Linked DNA regions of Arabidopsis thaliana. The protein of the gene in region 2 purifies or fractionates together with the protein of the main gene of each other region. This does not show direct contact. Each region holds a gene or a part of one and is shown on either strand. Other genes may lie near its edges.

Region 1 (5,773 bases), on a different chromosome or scaffold from region 2:
ATACAAAGAAAAGAACATAATTCAACTCATTTTCACGGTTAAGGATCCAATAATTAAACGTAGAAGGAGACCTTTGGTATCAGATTTTCTTATGTATAGTGGAAAACTCTCAAAACTAGTATTTTGCATTTATATAAAAAAAAAAGATCTTAACAGAAGTATAGTAAACAAAGACTAGGAGAAGCCATGGATTTCGGTGGATTTCATGAGGAGGAAAAGGATGGTAACCTATTTCTGGAATATCATCATCCCAAGTATCATCCCAAACCAAAAACACATAGCCTATCTCCATCCGGTGAAGCAGTCAGCGATGACCATCTTCTTCAACCTCTTTTTTTATGCCCAAGTGCACGAAAATTTAAAGATAGAACTGGGAATATTTTCCCGCTCAATTCTTCCCCCGAGTTCGTCTTCTCTACAAGAAGTGCTACATATCATTCAGTACTCCCGTTGTTTTGGTGCAACAATAAAGAATTCGATATTGATGGTGGATGCAATATATGCCGTCACTCAAATTTTGGCACTGACTATTATTTTTGTGACATTTGCACGAAAAAGTATCACAAAGAATGCGTCGAGTCTCCACTTAAAATCAAACACCCTTATCACCCTCAGCATTCGCTCCAACTTTACTTTCACTTCCTTCTTTACAGTATTAATTGTTTATGCTGTAGAAGAAGAGTAAACTTCCTGGTATATTATTGTACCATATGTAACGTTTTCATGCATCCAGTATGTGCAGTGAAGCCAATACCCTTTGTTATAGACCCACCAAAAAGGCATGCCGACCATCCTCTCACTTTTTTTCCTAGACAAACTTCTTTAACTTGCAACTTTTGTGGTTTGGTGAGAAAACTATATCCCACCTACATATGTGTCAGATGCAACTTTGTGTTTCATAGTGATTGTATGTACTCTCCAAGCGTCATCAAGATATCACGTCACAACCATCGTATCTCCTACACTTTTTCTCTACGATCATGTGAATGGTCTTGTGGAGTTTTTCATCAAATTATTGACGGTGATTATGGTGCATATACTTGTGATAAGTGTGGTCATTATGCTGTTCATTCGAGATGTGCTCTAGAGAAAAATGTGTGGGATGGAAAAGATCTCGAAGGTTTACCAGACAAAGATGATATTACACAAGATGTTGGATCATTCAATATAATATCTAAGGAAGTGATACTTCATTTTCTCCATGACCATCATTTCCGGCTCGAAGTCAGTATACTTTATAACGAAAAAAAACTTTGTCAAGCGTGTTATTTACCTATTTTCGAAGGTAATTTCTATTCTTGTGTGGAGTGTGATGATTTCATCTTCCATGAAACATGTGCAAAATTTTGCAGGATATTACAACATGCATTACATCCTCATCCACTAACATTAAAAGCTGCAAGTAGATATGGTATGGATCGTTTTGGATGCAGTTCTTGTAATCGTGGTTGTCGTGGCTTTGTCTATGAGTGTTGCATAAGGGGATGTATCTTCACTCTAGATGTAAAATGTGCTTCAATTGCTGAGCCGTTTTGTTTCCAAGGTCATAAACATCCATTGTTCATATTTGTAGGCCGAGACGGAAAACTCATATGTCGCGTATGCAAAACAGAACGTCATAATCAATTAAATTGCATCAAATGTGATTTTATTGTTTGTATGAAGTGTGCTACATTACCCTATAGAGCAAGGTATGAACATGACAAACACTTTCTCACAGCTATATGGGAAGAAGAGGTCCGTGAAAAAGATTGGTGCGAAGTATGTGAACGTAATTTAAGAGACACAAACACAAAAGTGTTCTATTGGTGCGTTGAGTGCTGCACCATTTTCCATATTGAATGCGTACTAGGTAAAAACTCGAATTTGAGTCTAAGCCAAACTCTCAAATTCTGGGTTCAGCGGGCTCAAATTCTTTTAGAAAATCTTAATCTGTAATAGACTAATAGACAATATTTCCAAGCATTCAGTGAGTTATATAGCTCTACCTCTCTATTCAAATGTAATTTGTTTTCTTCATATTTGTCTCCTTGGTTTGTGTTTGAAAAAAAATAAAATAAAAAAAGTCTCCTTGGTTTGTTAAGTTCAGTATATTGTTCAATAAACATATTTCAGAATAAATTTTTATAATAAAAATATATCTTAATAAACATTTGATCCAAAATAAATATATATTCAACTAATTATAGTGTATATTTAATATAAATATTTATATTTCTTTTGTTAAATGGTTTCCTTGAATTAATACAACCACTTGTAACTAAAAAACTTTGATATTCTCCGGTTATAAAATGGGAGCTCCATTCAAATTGTTTTTATGTGCTCTGTTCTCATTACCAATTTGATATCGTACAAAAAGAGCTGCTTCCTACTCGTGATCTAGATTGTAGATTTGAACCTTATCAAATGTGTGATCTTTACTATTTATCAGGATTAGATTACCAAAAACAAATCAATAGATGATGACTCTACAGGCTTGAGCTTTATTTTTGGCTCGAAAAATTGTCTAGATTTCTAAAACCGAACAAGAACATCAGAAAACATTGAAATATCAACATTCCTAGTTATAAATTAAACCAAAATTTCTGAAACATTGTGGTTTTATTAAGACGCCCACATGGATGAGATGCATCACTCCTTCACTTCAGCTCTTGATGATTTGTTATTCATTATAGCATCTTTTTTTAATTGGGGTCGGATTTCTCCATAGCTGCAAAAGAGAAGTATTCGAATAAGCAAGTTAACAAAAAGAATAGAGCAGAGGCAACACAAGGCAAAAGAACCGGGTATGGAGATATTACTGTTGTAGTTTAGAAGCTTTTCGATTAGATCGACATGAGTCATAAGCATACGCCTGCAGCAGTAACGGACTAATCCAAGCGCGTCAAGAGCATCCCTGCGTATTCCAAAACCAAAATTCAGATTTTCAGTTCAACAAAATGCAATTTTAGCATAATGCCTAAAACCAAAGTAGCTAAAAGATTAGATAGAAACAAGAGAATGGAATATATCAGTGATCACCTACCATCATGCTCTTTACTAACACTTAAGATAACATCTATGAACTTCAAGATGATCAAATTGCAACTAAAACAAAAACGAAATTGCGCAATTCCAAATCATGTAGCTTAACACCTAGAACCAAACGGGCTAAAGATTACACTAGCGATTAAAACAAGAAAATCGAAAAATCCCAATGATCTAACTTCATGCTTTTAGTAACAAGGCTAAAACATGTATAAACTTTCAAGATGATCATACAAGACAAGATCATGCAATCTCTTTGACTACACAAAACCATCAAATCATTCTATTGTCATGTTCCACTATTGTTTCATCTTTTACATGACTCTCATTTCAACTAAGAAAATGTCAGAAAACGTTCAAAATTCCAAGATTCAATCACTCTCATGTTCACCAAAAAAATTTCTCACAAATTATGATTCTTTTTCTAATCATAAACTATATATCGCTTACCCTTCAGCGTAATCAGCCTGGAGAAGTTCAAGGTATGTGTCCCATTTGTTCCCAATCACCTACAAAAAATCATAAACAAAAGCTTCATAAATCTCAATACTACAAACCCTAGAGATTTGTCACACACATATATATATAACAAATCGAAATCGTACAAAAAGAGAGAAGAAAAAACAAACCTTTCCACAAGTAAAACAACGAACAGGGACGATCATCGTGAACGAATCGAAACTTTAAGAGTTTATCGTCTCAAAGCGATCTTTAGGGCTTGTCTCTTTCTAACTTCGTTCTCGTCTCAAAGCAAAAATTAGTTTCATGTCTAATTATTATTGCTTTATATATTGAGTCCTATTATGTGTTTTAGCTAAAACGATACCGTATTAGTTAAAATTATTTATTTTATATCTGACAATAGAGGAGGAAAAGTATTCTTCTTCTTCTTCTTCTTCATCTGCTCGATCTTTTACATTTCCGGTAAGATCAAAATCAAAACCAAGTTCGTTTCGCGGCGGAGGAGAAGAAGAATCAGACGGGAAAATGTTGGAGAAGATCGGATTACCGCCGAAGCCATCTCTAAGAGGAAATAGTTGGGTCGTTGATGCTTCTCATTGTCAAGGATGTTCTTCTCAATTCACTTTCATCAATCGCAAGGTCTTCCTCTCTCTTAATTTCCTTACTCTCTCTATCAATTGGTACTTGCTTATTGCTATCGCGATCTTTAGATTCTTAGTTTCTTCGATCGAAATTTAGTTTCGTCTTAGTCGATTCTTCTTCGAGATCTAATTCAGAATCTGTTTATCGGAAAACTTCACTGAATGATCGGTTTCTGGTGATGTGCCTATTTGATAGATTCCATATTTTTGAGTAAATTTGGTGAATCTGGATGTTTTGTGGTTTGTGTATTACTAGACTTGTGACTTGCTGGATTCTTCTATGTCTCCCAAAAACCTTTGAATTTGCTTAATTTTTCTTAGTTTCTGTTGGCTTTGTTTTTTTGAGCGAGCAGCATCATTGCCGGAGATGTGGGGGATTGTTCTGTGGAACCTGCACTCAGCAAAGGTTGTCACTACGTGGACAAGGTGACTCACCTGTGCGTATATGTGAACCATGTAAGAAAATTGAAGAAGCTGCACGGTTTGAGTTGCGTCATGGTTACAAAAATAGAGCTGCTAAAGGTATTTATGTACCTATAGTGATCTTATTTATGACACTTTTGTGTTATCTGCTAGTTTTTGATGTAAAGAGATTGTGAATTTGTTCAGGAGGTAGCTCGAAAAGGACTGTAAAGAATGAGGATGATGTTCTCAGTGAGATTCTAGGCTCTGATGTTGATGTATCTTCTTCATCTGAATCTGTGTCTAGCACAGACAGGAATGCTTCTAAAGAAATGGCAAGTAGCAGTAGTAATAAAGGTATGGAGTTGGATGCTAGTCCTGAAGAATTGCGTAAACAAGCAGTAGAAGCGAAGAATAAGTACAGAATTCTTAAAGGAGAAGGGAAATCTGATGAAGCTCTAAAAGCATTTAAGAGAGGGAGGGAACTTGAGAGAGAGGCCGACGCATTAGAGATATCTTTAAGAAGGAACCGGAAAAGGGAACTGTCTATGCGAAATGTTGCTGAGACGCAGAACAAGGCTGCTACCAAAGAATCTAGCAAATCACAAAAGCCTCTACGTCAAGGGGGTAAAGGAAATGATGATTTGGCAGCTGACCTGAGGGAGCTTGGGTGGTCTGACGATGAAGATAAGAAACCAGCAACTATAAGTTTGGAGGGCGAATTTTCGTCTCTTCTCCGTGAAATTCCGCGAAGTGCTAATCCTCAGAAGACTGGGGGTATTGACAAGAGTCAGGTAATTGCCCTTAAGAGAAAAGCCCTTACGCTGAAACGTGAAGGGAAGCTTGCGGAAGCTAAAGATGAACTGAAAAAGGCTAAAATTTTGGAAAGGGAACTGGAAGAGCAGGAACTTTTGGGTGGAGCTGATGGATCAGATGATGAGCTATCTGCACTTATTAATAGTATGGATGATGACAAAGAAGATGATCTGTTAGCTCAATACGAGGGAAGCCATGATTTCGACATTAGTAACCTTGTGGGAAATTTAGATGATATTGGAGTTCATGGTGAATATGATGTCACAGATGAAGATATGGAGGACCCAGCAATCGCTGCTGCATTGAAATCTTTGGGTTGGAGTGAGGATCCTGGACACCATGAGAATGTCCACTCTCGACCATCTCCTAAAAACAGAGATGAAAGTTTAGCTGAAATTCAGACATTGAAAAGAGAGGCCCTTAAT
Region 2 (8,584 bases):
CCTAAAACATGGATGACTGAAAATGTAGGTAAGAGTTTGCATATCTCACCTGTATGGTATATGCTTTTGTGTCTGAAGATCCTTGTATTTTTTAGCAAGGCCATAATCAATGATATACACCTGAGGTTAGAAATTAATTCAGTAAACCAGAAGGCTTCAGTACTACTCCTATGCTAAGAATCACACACAGATTTATTCTAAAGACATCTTCAAAACATACACCAACTCATGCTGAATCGGTAGATTACCTGGTTTGCTCTGCGCCCAAGACCCATCAAAAAGTTGTCTGGTTTAATATCGCGGTGAAGAAAACCCCGCGAATGCATATACTCAACTCTACATATCTGCATTGATACAACATACTCTCAACGACCAACCTAACATCTTAAAGAAAGGGCATACTCATTACTCAGTACTTACCAATTGATCTGCAAGCATTAAAACAGATTTTAATGAAAATATTCGCTTGCAGTAATTGAATAAGTCCTCCAAGCTTGGCCCAAGAAGATCGATAACCATGCAACTGTATTCACCCTCAACTCCAAACCATTTCAGATGGGGAACACCCGCTATTTAACAGAAAGAAAATATATCAAGGTATCAGAGGCTTGGAACTAAAACTTCATATAAACTAGCAGAGAAAGACAAACCAAACTCACTTCCTCCTTGAAGAAACATATATATTTTCGATTCATACTGCAGTTGAGGATGCCTCGTCTTCACAGGTTCCTAGTGTCAAAAAAAGAACCATTATTAGACCACAAAGACAGAAATGGAGCTTGCATAATTAACACCATTTCTTTCCATAACAGAGCAGCAACCATCAGGAATAAGAAGAGAACAAGCTGCAAATTACACTTCTATTCCCAATCAAAACTAGTCTCACTTAAAACAAGCTGCAAATAACATTGATTCATTATCCAAAATTGAAACCTTCCTCAGCACAAAATCTATAAAATTTGAATGAAATAACTTAAACAAATTCGTAGTATTACCAGCTTAACTGCGACTTCTTCTCCAGTTTGAATATTGATCCCTAAATCATACACACATAGATTACACTTCAACAACAACTAAACAAACCCAATGCAAGAACTAGTAAACACTCTCAAGATGTGAATAGATTGATTTGATACCTAAATAAAGTTCACCGAATGATCCACTTCCAAGCTTCCTACCCAACTTAAACTTCCCGCCGATAACGTGATCCATCTTTTGATTCCGATCCATCTTTTTCCGAATTCCGATGATAATCCGATTCACCAGTAAAACCCGATTCTCATATACTTAATACGGTTCCAATCAAAACCCTAGTCGCTAAATCAGAAACTGGGTCCAAAGCAAACACAGTGATTGAAGGAAGCTGATTTAGTGGTGAAAGTTGAGGACTTTCGCAAGAAAAGAGAAAGAAAGTTGTTTTCTTTTACTTGGAGAAAGAAGAAGAATCTCTGGGGGGACAAAGAATTAGAAGAATCGGATCTGAGTTTGAGGGAAGATTTTGCGGAGATTTGCGGAAGAAAAGAGAAAGAGAAAGAAGAAGAAGGGAATAATAAAGAAATGAATATGTGAAAATTGAATTTAACCTAAAGAAAGACAAAACTTCAACGTAAATATTTATCATTCATTGAATCTTTTTATTTTATTTTTGTATACTGTTTTTTTTTTAATTACTTAGAAGAAAAAATTAGTTGTTTTCGTGCACGGTTTAACATTTAAATTCTCTGTTTTCTAACGACCAAAACTCTAATTCGTAATAACCATAAACATCACTTAATCAACAACAACACGAAACAAGTTTGCAAAACTTTATAATATATTTTTATTAAAAACAGAATCTACCACCAAAAAAAAAAGTTCTACATTTGTCATTTTTCAAGCTGAAATTTTCATTTTACGTTTATATATTTTGATACATTATTGGGGATAGAGTATAATCTCATTAAGATTATCACTATATATCTTGTGATAGAGTTATGTCCTATATTTTAGGGATTAGAGTATATCTCATAAGATGTCTCTCTTGTATAAATACTATACTTTGTGAATCAATAAAATCAAGTTAGTGCAATACCTAAGTCTACATACATCACCCAATTTACATTGATTTATTTAAGTTTTTTTTTACTCATTTACTAATCGTACCAATATGTTGATGAACATTTTTGGATTTAAACTGTCAACAAATCGTGTACTAGCGCAATATTATCATATTATCACTTTGTTCTATCTTATGATCTCTCGCTTGGACAGATTCTGGAAGTGCATGTAAAGGACCTGATTTTATAAAAGTTCAAACAATTTAAAAAAGAAAGCATCCATTTACTTGTGGATCTCCCGAACGCTTGGTAACGTCGATACATGGAACACTTGTTGATGAGTCTTGAGAAATCAAGCTCATACTTAATAACCAGTTTACATGTCGTTAGTAGATCTTCTCGATGAACTCATGAACACAGTGTGAAATTCATGAGTTTCTTCTATATGGTAATTTAGTAGGATAGCTAATGTTCTTCTATGCTATATTAAGCATTTTGTTTTTACTTTCATTTTCAATATGAAAATTAACATGTGTCTCTAAAGGTAAACGTGTTAGGACCATTCATCTTGAGTCAAGTGATATTTCACATGCATGGGAAACAAAACTTATTGATAATTGTATACAATGACTAAAGTTTTATAATGTTTATGAAACTTTCGGATTGTATACAATGACTAAAGTTTTATAATGTTTATGAAACTTTCGGTATTGTTAAAGTATTATGATGGTCAATGAAACTAGGCAAAAATAAGTCAAAGAGAATAAGAAAAATTATCCATAAGTAAGCAAGCTTATAATAGATGCGTATGATTATATCAACTATAGTGTTTATAGGCTTCCATCGTTGACGATATTACATTATTTATAGTTTAGATTTTAGAATACGTTTGATGAAATGGCTTTTGGTTTAAGTGGCCTAAGCTTTTTGCTTTTATTTGTCCATTTGTCACACCCGTTGTTTTCTTGTCGTTTGGACATCCCACGGTAAGAATTTATGTCGGGAACTTTTAACAAATCAAACTAGGCATGCAATAACGGTTATGTCGGATTATTCGGGTTTTTGGATAGTTCAAAAATTGAAAATTTTGATGAATTTGATTAAAACACGAAACCGTGTAAAACCAACCTAAAAATCCAAGGTGTTTTGTTTTTTACATTCAAGAAAAGCAAACTTACACAGACAAAGTTGTTTTTTAACAGTCATATAAATCTCTACCAGAAGATCAAATTGGACAGTTTTTAAAACTCCAAACCAACATTCCATCACACGAGTTCTTGATAACTTGAAAGACAAATCGAATCCTCATGTCACCTATTCCTCTTCTCTTTCCGGAGGAAGGCCGCAGGGTAATAGCATTTTCTGGAAATCAAAAGACATCTCAAGTTATTCCAAAACATCATCACATCTACAAAGTGTAACCAATTTTTTGAGCAAAGAACACCCCACAAATATTCATATTTTTCTATGCTTTTCGATTAACCCTCAAGAAGACCATATATTCAGATATAAGAGATCGCTATCACAAGATTATTCAACCATGTAAGAGACCTGTTTCATGAAAAAACTGAAAGCCAAGGCGAGCTCACAACTGTTTGTGAAAGGAACTAAGCTTCCATTAATTTGAGAATTGAGGACAAATGAAAACATTTGAGTGAGAGACCACACCATAACCTAATGCTCTATAATCTAATTGTAACCTACACAACTGGAGGCTGCTGAATGGTCAGTGAAATGTGAAGTCCATAGTCTAGGAAATCAACATATCACGACAAATAGAGAAATACGCCATTGACAAGACCTAAACTAAAACCATACAACAAATCAATGAATCTGAAAAGGAAAAGGAATGAGATATACCACAAGATAACCACGAAATGATACATTCCTAATCGACTACACATAGAATCATAATCCAAACCTTGAACTGTAGATTTGTCACTAGATAAAGGATGAGGCAAAAGGAAAGTACAGAATTTTACTGATAAGATTCCTATTAACACAGAGAATAGGAAGCAAACCTACATGAAATTCTAACCTATCACACATTTCAACCATGCAAGAGGCGAATAAACCGAAACCAACCGAGTTGAGTAAGACCATGACCCAACGCTCTCTAATATAATTGTATCCTACAGAACTAGAGGCTGCTGAAATAGTCAGTCAAAACTGAAGTCCATGGTCTAAGAAATCAAAATATCACGACGAATAGACAAATACGACATTTAACAGTAAACTAAAAACCATACAACAAAGCAATAAATCTGGAAGGCAACATAAGTTACATAACCATATGATACGCACCTAATCAAATAAACATAGAATCATAATCCAAATCTTGAACTGTAGATTTGTCACTAGAGAAAGTAATATGCAAAAGACATGAAAGGAGGCAAACCTGCATGAAATTGTAGCGTTCTCGTCCAATAGACTCGTTCTCAGCAATAGCAAAGTATGAAAGCATAGGGTAGTGACCAATGTATGAAGCATAACTATCACGCTGAATGTTCACAGCCCACTCACTGTACCATTTAAACCAATTCCACAAATTAGTAGCCAATAAAAACAATGCATATAAAAATTTGAACACTAAAATCAAAAGAAACTCACAATCTACTCAAATCAGCATGACCGGTTCCAACATATTTAGCTTGAAGATGCTCAAGCTGAGAATTGATGTTAAACCTATCACTTGCCTGCAAAAGAAAAAAACCCAAACCAAAAGATGTTAAATTTAAAGCAAATTGTTCCCGATTTCATCTATATATGCTTTATAAGAAACAAATCGACCTAATTTCGTCTAAGCCAATTCTCTTCGACATAGATAAATTAAACAGACAGAGAATCAAAGGTAGAAGAAGCTAATTAGGTTATTTCTTCTTCCAATTTACCAACAAAAGCTAGGGTTTCGGATCGAGAACATACCTGCATCTTTTTCAGAGTTTCGCAGCAACTAGAAGAAGAAGAAGAAGAAGAAGAAGAAGAAGAAGAAGAAGAAGAAGATCTAAACCCTATCTTTCTTCAAGTCCTTTATCTGCTAATTGTTTTCGGTTAATATTTAAATCCGAAATAACCGACCGGTTCGTTCGGTGTACCCGAAGTAGTAGATCATAAAATGAAAACGTGGTCGTTTCACATAATAAAGAAGTTAAGGCAAGAAGCTTGGAATTTGGCTAACAATTGTGGATTCTTTAATCATTATCAATCTACAGAATACAAACAAAAGTGGCTGTAGTTTAGTGGTTAGAATCCCACGTTGTGGCCGTGGGGACCTGGGCTCGAATCCCAGCAGCCACACTTAGTCTTTTTTCTTTTTTATACTATTTTGACATTTGAAGAAGGTCTCTTAAGGGCCTACGAATACTCATAGAGGTACATTTGTTCTCTACTTCTTTTGTATGCACTTTTTAGTCTTCAGTCTTCACACGCAATTGGTTCCAAAGGCCTACATATAGTGTAGACTGTAGACTTTTAGCACCAAATCTGAGGTGCCATTAAGCCATCTGTTTCACTCTTGAGTGTACTCAATTAAACACATTCAGTGAGAACAGTTTTTCAGATTGGCGCTTTTTCTAATCTAATAAATAGTAAATACTTTTGCTTATAGCATTAGAGGGTGAAGATTTCATCTTGAGGTTTAGTAGTACAACCAAGTTTTGATTAACCAAAAAAAAAAAAATCAAATACCAAAGCTCACCTTCTCTCCCTGTGAAAATAAATAAACAAGCCAATTCCGAAAAGAATATTTACTTTTTCACTTTTCTATGTTGAAAACAATTAAACAAATCCATCTTTCTCCTCTGGGAGAGCCTTCGCTTCCACTGGAGAGACTGTACTTTGTTGAAAAACCCCTGCTAACTCCAACTTTTAACAGTCGTTTAGAGAAAGCAAAAGGCTTTCAACGAAATCAACAACACACATGTTAATATAACAAGAGTCTTCTGGTTCAGGCTGTGCAATGTGTCAAATGAAATTCACCCGGATGAGCTCGACTTACTACCTTCTTTCTCTGGATCTTCAATCTGCGTCGGTAGTAGATTCAAAAAGCTTCCTTGGTGGGTTGTTGTCCCACCAGATGTTTCGTCTTCTGTTAATTTAGTTTCCACAGTTTGGTTAGAGAGAATCAAACATGGATCGTAATCATCTTGATTTTACAAATAGCATACAAACAGATGATTTACCAAAGAGAGATTTAATAGACGGCCTTTTTGGCTTATTGCTCTTCTTCTTCAACTCAGCTGCACAATAAAACAAATTACAAATGCAGCAAACATGCGATGATAATCACAAGGTAATCTAGTATTGTTGCTTCTTCCTCAGCAACGGAAGGGGGGTTAAGTGAATTACCTATCCCTGGTATTTGGTCATCATTTACGATTTCTACGTTCTTGTAAGTATAACCAACAAAGTTAATGTCTTTGGATGAGAGCATCTGGAGAAGAAAAAAAGAAAGCCAGCGTCATGTTATGAAATTCACAAGAATCCTTTTGGTTCATGACATAAATTCTATTGACAGAACAGGTTCTAAGTTATATCATGTTGGTCCAAAAAGATAAGTGATTCATCTAACACACGTCAACATGCAGAACTGGCAGATTAACAACATAATTCTGTTAGTAGCATCCCAATCAGCTCCAAATTCTAAATTACCATAAGAAAATTTGAACCTAAAAGAGTGAATCACGTTTTTGTGAATATAGTACAAAGATAGAAACGCCTGTGACAGAAACTGAGCCAATTTCATCATTCTGAGCTCTTTGTTGCATGTAATATTTTAAGCTACGTCTGTAGTATCATCAAAGAACAACATATCTCAAGGAACCCACTTATAGATAAATTTTGAAGTATGATCACTCTTCTATTAGATAAAAAAAAAAAGCTTGATGGTACATAATGCCAAAAAGTCAGTGCTTATGCTGTACCTTTCTCCATGGACCTGACTTGGCTGACTTTGGAACTTGCTTGTCAGTCTGTTCCAGAAGGAATCAAAGAAGAGTATACATTATTTTCCTTATCAGGAGCATAAAAATCATCTGTGATACCAATATTTCAGTATATACATCATGCCACATCATTTGGTGGCATATATTGCACCAATATTTCACTATAGACATCATTAGCTGATAGTATCAGTGTGTTACCTCTTCAAATTTCTCAAAATTTTGGGTGTCCAACTCATCATTAACTTGGGGAATAAAGGCAGCTTTCATTTGATACAATTTTCCCCATTCTGTGCCTCTAAACCAAGGGTGACCCTGAAAGAAACCAGTCAAATCGTTTTTAAGAATTGCACACAATGATCTTACATAAGGGAACTTTGAATCTCAAAGTTGAACAACGCATACAACACCTTAATTTCATCTGCTCCTTTTGTTCCAAGCCTTTGTTCAACATTGCATAAAAGCCTACAAATAAGATCCTTGGCTTCTGGTGATAGTCTAACCTCATCTGGGAATTTCAAGTAATTTCTCCAATTTACTATCTGCATAAGGGGGAAGATAATGAATCGAGAAGAGGTAAGTTTCCACATTAGAATTACCAAAGAGATACAAAAAGACTAAAATTAAATGTAAGACTTGAAATCGCCAGTCTGCCTTCAATATTAAAATGAAAGATTCAAAAAGGAATGGATTAATTACCTTCCTACAAGTTGTCATTGGGTCATCTGAATAAAAGGGCGGAAACCCCACAAGCATTTCATACATAATGGCGCCAAGAGACCACCTAAATCTCAAGATTATTCACCCATATTATTTATTTACACCAAAGAAATCAAAGACCACAAATAGGAATAGGTTGGCTTCACCTACCAATCACATTCCATTCCATATCCTTTTTTCAACAGAACTTCTGGGGCAATATAGTCAGGAGTGCCAACTGTGGAATAAGCCTGAAAGTAATGACCTTAACCTAGTAAGTCATATCTAACATAGATGTCTATATCAATGGAGAGAATTTGCTTTCAATAACGAAATATACTGGATACTGTGGACTACTCCACATCTCTGGAAGAAAAGATGAGGAATAAGTGAAACTTACAAGCATCCTTCTATTTCTCTGCCAGTTTAGTAATTGCTCTTGTTGGGTGCGTCTTGTCGCCACAGGGCGACCATCACTTTGTAAAGCCCCACTAACGTTTCTTGCAACTGTAAAGTCTTTCTCTTGAAGATTACTACAGTCTAATGGTTTACATAATCCAAAATCTGACAATTTCATGTGGCCGTCTTTGTCAAGTAGCAGATTATCAGGCTTGATATCTCTGTATCACATTGGAGAAAAAAAGACGTTTAGAACAAAATAACAATGGGAGCTAGAACTAAATCATATATTCTGCTTCACTGACCTGTGAATGTAGTTGTGCTTATGAATGGACTCAATAGCCAGGACAGTTTCCCCAATATAAAACCTGGCCTCGTCTTCAGTGAGGGTGTCTTTCCTCATAAGTAAAGTCATCATATCCCCACCAGGTAAATACTCCATTATGAGATACAAGTACTCTTCATCTTGGAAAGAACAATACAGTTTGACAATGCAATTGCTATCAACTT
Region 3 (5,232 bases), on a different chromosome or scaffold from region 2:
TTTAGGCCCAATAAGAAGTCTCTCACGTGCGATTGCCAGGTTGGAACCGCTTTTTTATCTCTCATAAAGCACGTGCGAGTGCGACGATGTTTTAGTAACTGCTCTCCTTAATGGAATCCAGCTGTCATTCACACGAACATATTTTTTTACGAAATTCAAAAAAACTTTTTATCACGAGCCATTAATTTTTGAATTTTGCCACCCGTTGCCACCTCGATTTACGTGGCATTATCTAAACCGTCGATTCGATTTCGAATTACCAAATATTAGCCGTTAAAACCTCCTTTTCTTTATAAATGGACCCTCCTCTTCTTCTCTCTCTCATAAAACAAAAGATCCTCTCTGCTTCTCCTTTCCCTTTTTCAAAATCTCTCTCTCTCTCTCTCTTTTTAGATCCAGTTTTAGGGTTTTCTTCTCTGTGAGCGAAGATGCGTGAGATTCTTCATATTCAAGGAGGTCAATGCGGAAACCAAATCGGTTCCAAGTTTTGGGAAGTGGTTAATCTCGAGCACGGGATTGATCAGACGGGACGGTATGTAGGAGATTCCGAGTTACAGCTTGAGAGGGTTAATGTATACTACAACGAGGCGAGTTGTGGAAGGTACGTTCCTCGCGCTGTTCTCATGGATTTGGAGCCTGGAACCATGGACAGTGTCAGATCTGGTCCGTACGGTCAGATCTTTCGACCGGATAACTTCGTCTTCGGTCAGTCCGGTGCTGGGAATAACTGGGCTAAAGGTCACTACACTGAAGGTGCTGAGCTTATTGATTCGGTCCTTGATGTTGTTCGCAAAGAGGCTGAGAACTGTGACTGCCTTCAAGGTATTTGAAATCCGTCTTCCTTATTTAGGTTTTTGTCTATTTAGGTTTTTGGATCTGTAAATTTAGGTTGGGTATTGGTAGTGTATGATTGTTTTTAGGTTTAGATTTCTGATTTTGAACTGTGGAATACGGATTCGGTTTTGTATTCGTTGTTTGCTTATGGTTTTGGTTGTTTGGATTTACAGGATTTCAGGTGTGCCATTCCTTGGGAGGAGGAACTGGTTCTGGAATGGGAACTTTGTTGATATCTAAGATCAGGGAGGAGTACCCAGACCGTATGATGATGACTTTCTCTGTGTTCCCATCGCCTAAGGTGTCTGACACTGTTGTGGAGCCTTACAACGCAACACTATCTGTGCACCAGCTTGTTGAGAACGCTGATGAGTGTATGGTTCTTGACAACGAAGCTTTGTATGACATTTGCTTCCGTACACTCAAGCTTAGCACTCCAAGTTGTAAGTATTCCAATGTTCTTCGATTATGAGTCAATGTTGTTACTGTATCTGTCTCTGTGGTTTATTGTTTCAGGCTTAGTTATTGATTAGTATTGAAACTTCACTCACATATTTTTTTGTTTGTTTTCTGAATTGTGCAGTTGGTGATCTGAACCACTTGATCTCTGCAACCATGTCTGGTGTAACCTGCTGTCTTAGGTTCCCTGGTCAACTGAACTCTGATCTGCGAAAGCTAGCTGTGAATCTGATCCCATTCCCTCGTCTCCACTTCTTCATGGTGGGATTTGCTCCTCTCACCTCTCGTGGATCTCAGCAGTACCGTAACCTCACTGTCCCAGAGCTCACTCAGCAAATGTGGGATGCTAAGAACATGATGTGTGCTGCTGACCCAAGACACGGTCGCTACCTCACTGCTTCAGCCATGTTCCGTGGAAAGATGAGCACCAAGGAGGTCGATGAACAGATGCTGAACGTACAGAACAAGAACTCCTCCTACTTTGTGGAATGGATCCCTAACAACGTCAAATCAACCGTCTGTGACATTCCCCCTACTGGTCTGAAGATGGCTTCAACGTTCATTGGTAACTCAACTTCGATCCAAGAGATGTTCAGGCGTGTCAGTGAGCAATTCACTGCTATGTTCAGGAGAAAGGCTTTCTTGCATTGGTACACAGGTGAAGGTATGGATGAGATGGAGTTCACTGAAGCTGAAAGCAACATGAACGATCTTGTCTCTGAGTATCAGCAGTATCAAGATGCAACGGCTGATGAAGAAGGAGAATATGAAGAGGAAGAAGCTGAGTACGAGCAAGAAGAAACTTATTGAAGAAACAGATGATAAGAACACCTCAACTTCCAGTTGCTGTTTACTTTTAAAACTCTCTTCTATTAAGTTCTTATAGTTTCTGTAACTATCGCTTGCGTTATTAGTAGTTATGATACTCTGCGTAGGCTAAGAGGATTTATCAATCAATATTCAAACAATCTATTTTGCTAAATCAAAATCCATCCATAGTATTTTTTTTCTTTGTTTCATTATATAACCTTTTGTTAATTTTGACTATGTGAATTCGGTGAAGACTTCACCATCTTTCAAATATAAGAAGCAGAGTAGTAGTGACAATGGTTATAAGCAATATAAGAATCTTCTTGGTTAAATTTTGGTGTGGATTATGAATTTGACGAGTCAATTTGAAGGACGAATCTGGATTTAAGATAAAAATAGTATAAACTCCATAGGAGAATACAATGGTTATCAGTTGTTTTCAATGTCCATGGACCCAAATAGATCCCTCTGCCTCTTAAGCTCTTCTTCTTCAGCCTCCTCCTTACGCTTTTGTTCATCCTTATACTCAGCAACAGCCTTATCAAAAACGCTTCTCACATGTCTGTTCATTTGCATGAGCTCTTGACATGCATCTTTAAAAACCTCTCTTGCTGGATCACCTAAAAGCCACAGAGCCAACACGTTTTATGTTGTTAGACACACAGACAAAGAACTCGGATAAGAGTTATCCAAAAAGAACATAGCTTAACTCTGATGAACAGAGTTTTTGAAAAACAGTACCTGTTGTCTGGACCCGGATATTGACCTGTTCAAGGGAAGGATGTGGGATGGTGTATGCAGCCACGGTTACTCTGGGACTGCAGAATTGAAAACAGTACTGGTTATTGACATAATCATCATTGTCTACACACCAGCATATCAACTCCATCAACCTCAAAGATAAGATAATGTGACATTCATTGAATACAATGAGAATCTCTAACAACATAACATGAATGTAAACCAACATTTAATCGAACTCTCAAGTTTCACAATCACAATATAATGGCGAACTTAATGGACCAAACTCATCCAACGAAAGATATCGGAACAATAATGCCTCGTCACTGCTGTCTCTATCTAAGAGCTAATTCTAGACTATCTTTTCTAGTCTCTAACCACAGAACATGAATCTGAATCGAACTCAACCTTCACAATCACCTTATAATGGCACAAACATACAATGTGCACACTGATTATTCAAACAAAATTTGATTATCTTCACAATAATTCTAACCAAAAACAAAGGTAAAGACAGGTAAGAGATTCATTCCTAATGAGGGAAACTATGAACTCAATAATCAGAATTTGAGAGTGTCACGAACTAAGTATGAGATTATAAAGCTAAAGCCTTTCTCTGTGAAAGTGTATAGCTTCTTCTATATATATACATAACAGATTCAAAAGGATTGAAAGAAGAAGATACTTACTCTTGGTTTAAGACGAATCTAACAGCATTAGCAAGTGTGTGATCTTCTTCCGATAAAGTAAACGAAGCATGACTAACATTCGTGAACGAACCGTGCTCCATATCTCACCTTCTTGCTACTCAATTCCTTAACTCAAAATCAAAAATCCACCACCAACTAGAAAACACAGAAAGAGAACGACTTCAATTGAAAGCTTTGAATAGCTAAACAAACCCACAAAGAAAAACTCGAAATTGAAGAAAATTTCAGCAAAAAAAGTTGAGAGAGTAAGAAAGAAGATACCTCCAATAGAAATTTGCTAAAACCCTAAAAGCTTGATTAGTCGGCGACTTTTAGTCGTGGAGAAGCTCAGATACTTTAGCGTAATTACATCTATACCCTTTCGTTTGATGACGTGGCGTGTAATGTCTCTTAAACCCTAATTCGGCTGTGTAGCAAAAGAGAAGCCTTTGTTGTGTTCTTTACCTCTCTTCACGAAATCCCATTTGAGAAAGTAAGGATTTATGATCTTCAAATTCAAGTATGAATTATAAAGTTTCGATTTTTACGAATCATTAATTTTGTATTCAGGTACTGCTAAAAAAATGGCTTCTCCTATTCCCGTCGGCGTTACTAAGGAACAGGTTCGGTTTATTTGCTCGTCCTTTATTGTTAATACATCGTAAAGCTCCGATCTTTGATCTAATTAGACAATGGAAGCTTAAGTTTTTCTAGCTGTCTCTGTGATGACATATAGGTTTCAATGTTTTTGCAATGCTTAGGGTTTAAATTGTATCGTGATTCAGATCTTTAAGCCATTTATTAGATTTGGATTGGTGTTGTCAAGTTTCTCATTTTGCTTTTTTTTTTTGGTGTCTTGGATTTGAATCAGGCGTTTAGTATGGCACAAACGGAGATGGAGTATCGCGTGGAACTCTTTAACAAGTACTGAATCAAACACCCATTTGGTTTATCTTTCGTTATGAAATTCGATTTTCACTTGTGATTGCTTATCTGGTTTAATTTTGTTTTGATCACATTGTTTAGGGCTTCACTTATTTTCAAATAGTGATATATATAAGCTAGAGGAGTATAAGTTTGAGACTGCTGATATGTCGAAAATCCTTAGGCTGCCTGAATTGTTTATCTTGAGGAGGAAATCTAAAATCTTTCTATGAGGAATTCTCGAGTTCTGTGCATATGTATTCAGCTGTTATGTAGAGTTTAAACTTTGATAACATATGACTTAGGTGGTGTTCTGTTAATATTCATTTCCCCGGGCCATTTGTGATTCCTCTGGTTAGAGATTATGAAGAAAGTCACATCTTTATATGTGTTTCTTTTCCTTCTAATATACTTTGTGGTCTATTGTGATTCCTCGGGTTAGAGACTATGCTGACAGGCCTTGTTCTTGTATTGCAGGCTTGCTCAAACATGCTTTAATAAATGTGTGGATAAAAGGTAAACTATTTCTCCTTTTGATGTTCTATAATTACGTCGTGGAACTTGTCTGCAATTGTTGAAACTTTTCTTAGCTGAGAGATGAGTAAGTTGCACCTGTTTTGAGATTCTTTGCCTAATTCTCAGGTACAAGGAAGCTGAGCTAAACATGGGTGAGAATAGTTGCATCGACCGTTGTGTTTCCAAGTACTGGCAGGTAAGGCTCTCTGATACTTCAACAATTAACAATTTGATACTTCAAATCTTCTCATAGTTGACT

What was found.
Region 1: the proteins of AT4G14342 (region 2) and AT1G61700 fractionate together in Arabidopsis thaliana (co-fractionation; one large-scale study listed by BioGRID). This does not show direct contact.
Region 3: the proteins of AT4G14342 (region 2) and RPC14 fractionate together in Arabidopsis thaliana (co-fractionation; one large-scale study listed by BioGRID). This does not show direct contact.

The regions. Positions count from the first base shown.
Region 1 is NC_003070.9:22,785,024-22,790,796, reverse strand, and holds AT1G61700 (RNA polymerases N / 8 kDa subunit), read right to left. Parts: upstream 3,786-5,773; 5' UTR 3,693-3,785; coding exon 3,657-3,692; intron 3,537-3,656; coding exon 3,478-3,536; intron 2,897-3,477; coding exon 2,802-2,896; intron 2,711-2,801; coding exon 2,685-2,710; 3' UTR 2,417-2,684; downstream 1-2,416. Other genes in the region: AT1G61710 (Cysteine/Histidine-rich C1 domain family protein), read left to right, coding at 221-681, 903-1,285, 1,574-1,938; AT1G61690 (phosphoinositide binding protein), read left to right, coding at 4,015-4,128, 4,484-4,652, 4,740-5,773.
Region 2 is NC_003075.7:8,250,439-8,259,022, forward strand, and holds AT4G14342 (Splicing factor 3B subunit 5/RDS3 complex subunit 10), read right to left. Parts: upstream 5,167-8,584; 5' UTR 4,968-5,166; coding exon 4,962-4,967; intron 4,733-4,961; coding exon 4,647-4,732; intron 4,559-4,646; coding exon 4,345-4,558; 3' UTR 4,062-4,344; intron 3,399-4,061; coding exon of another isoform or gene 3,351-3,398; 3' UTR 3,098-3,350; downstream 1-3,097. Other genes in the region: CKI1 (casein kinase I), read right to left, coding at 50-120, 249-344, 421-569, 660-729, 996-1,036, 1,137-1,230; AT4G14350 (AGC (cAMP-dependent, cGMP-dependent and protein kinase C) kinase family protein), read right to left, coding at 6,011-6,123, 6,218-6,274, 6,384-6,468, 6,959-7,006, 7,178-7,291, 7,387-7,518, 7,676-7,760, 7,847-7,926 and 2 more.
Region 3 is NC_003071.7:12,641,129-12,646,360, reverse strand, and holds RPC14 (RNApolymerase 14 kDa subunit), read right to left. Parts: upstream 3,534-5,232; 5' UTR 3,074-3,533; coding exon 2,845-3,073; intron 2,724-2,844; coding exon 2,533-2,723; 3' UTR 2,417-2,532; downstream 1-2,416. Other genes in the region: TUB7 (tubulin beta-7 chain), read left to right, coding at 429-822, 1,008-1,277, 1,418-2,103; TIM10 (Tim10/DDP family zinc finger protein), read left to right, coding at 4,118-4,156, 4,405-4,457, 4,582-4,653, 4,935-4,973, 5,100-5,169.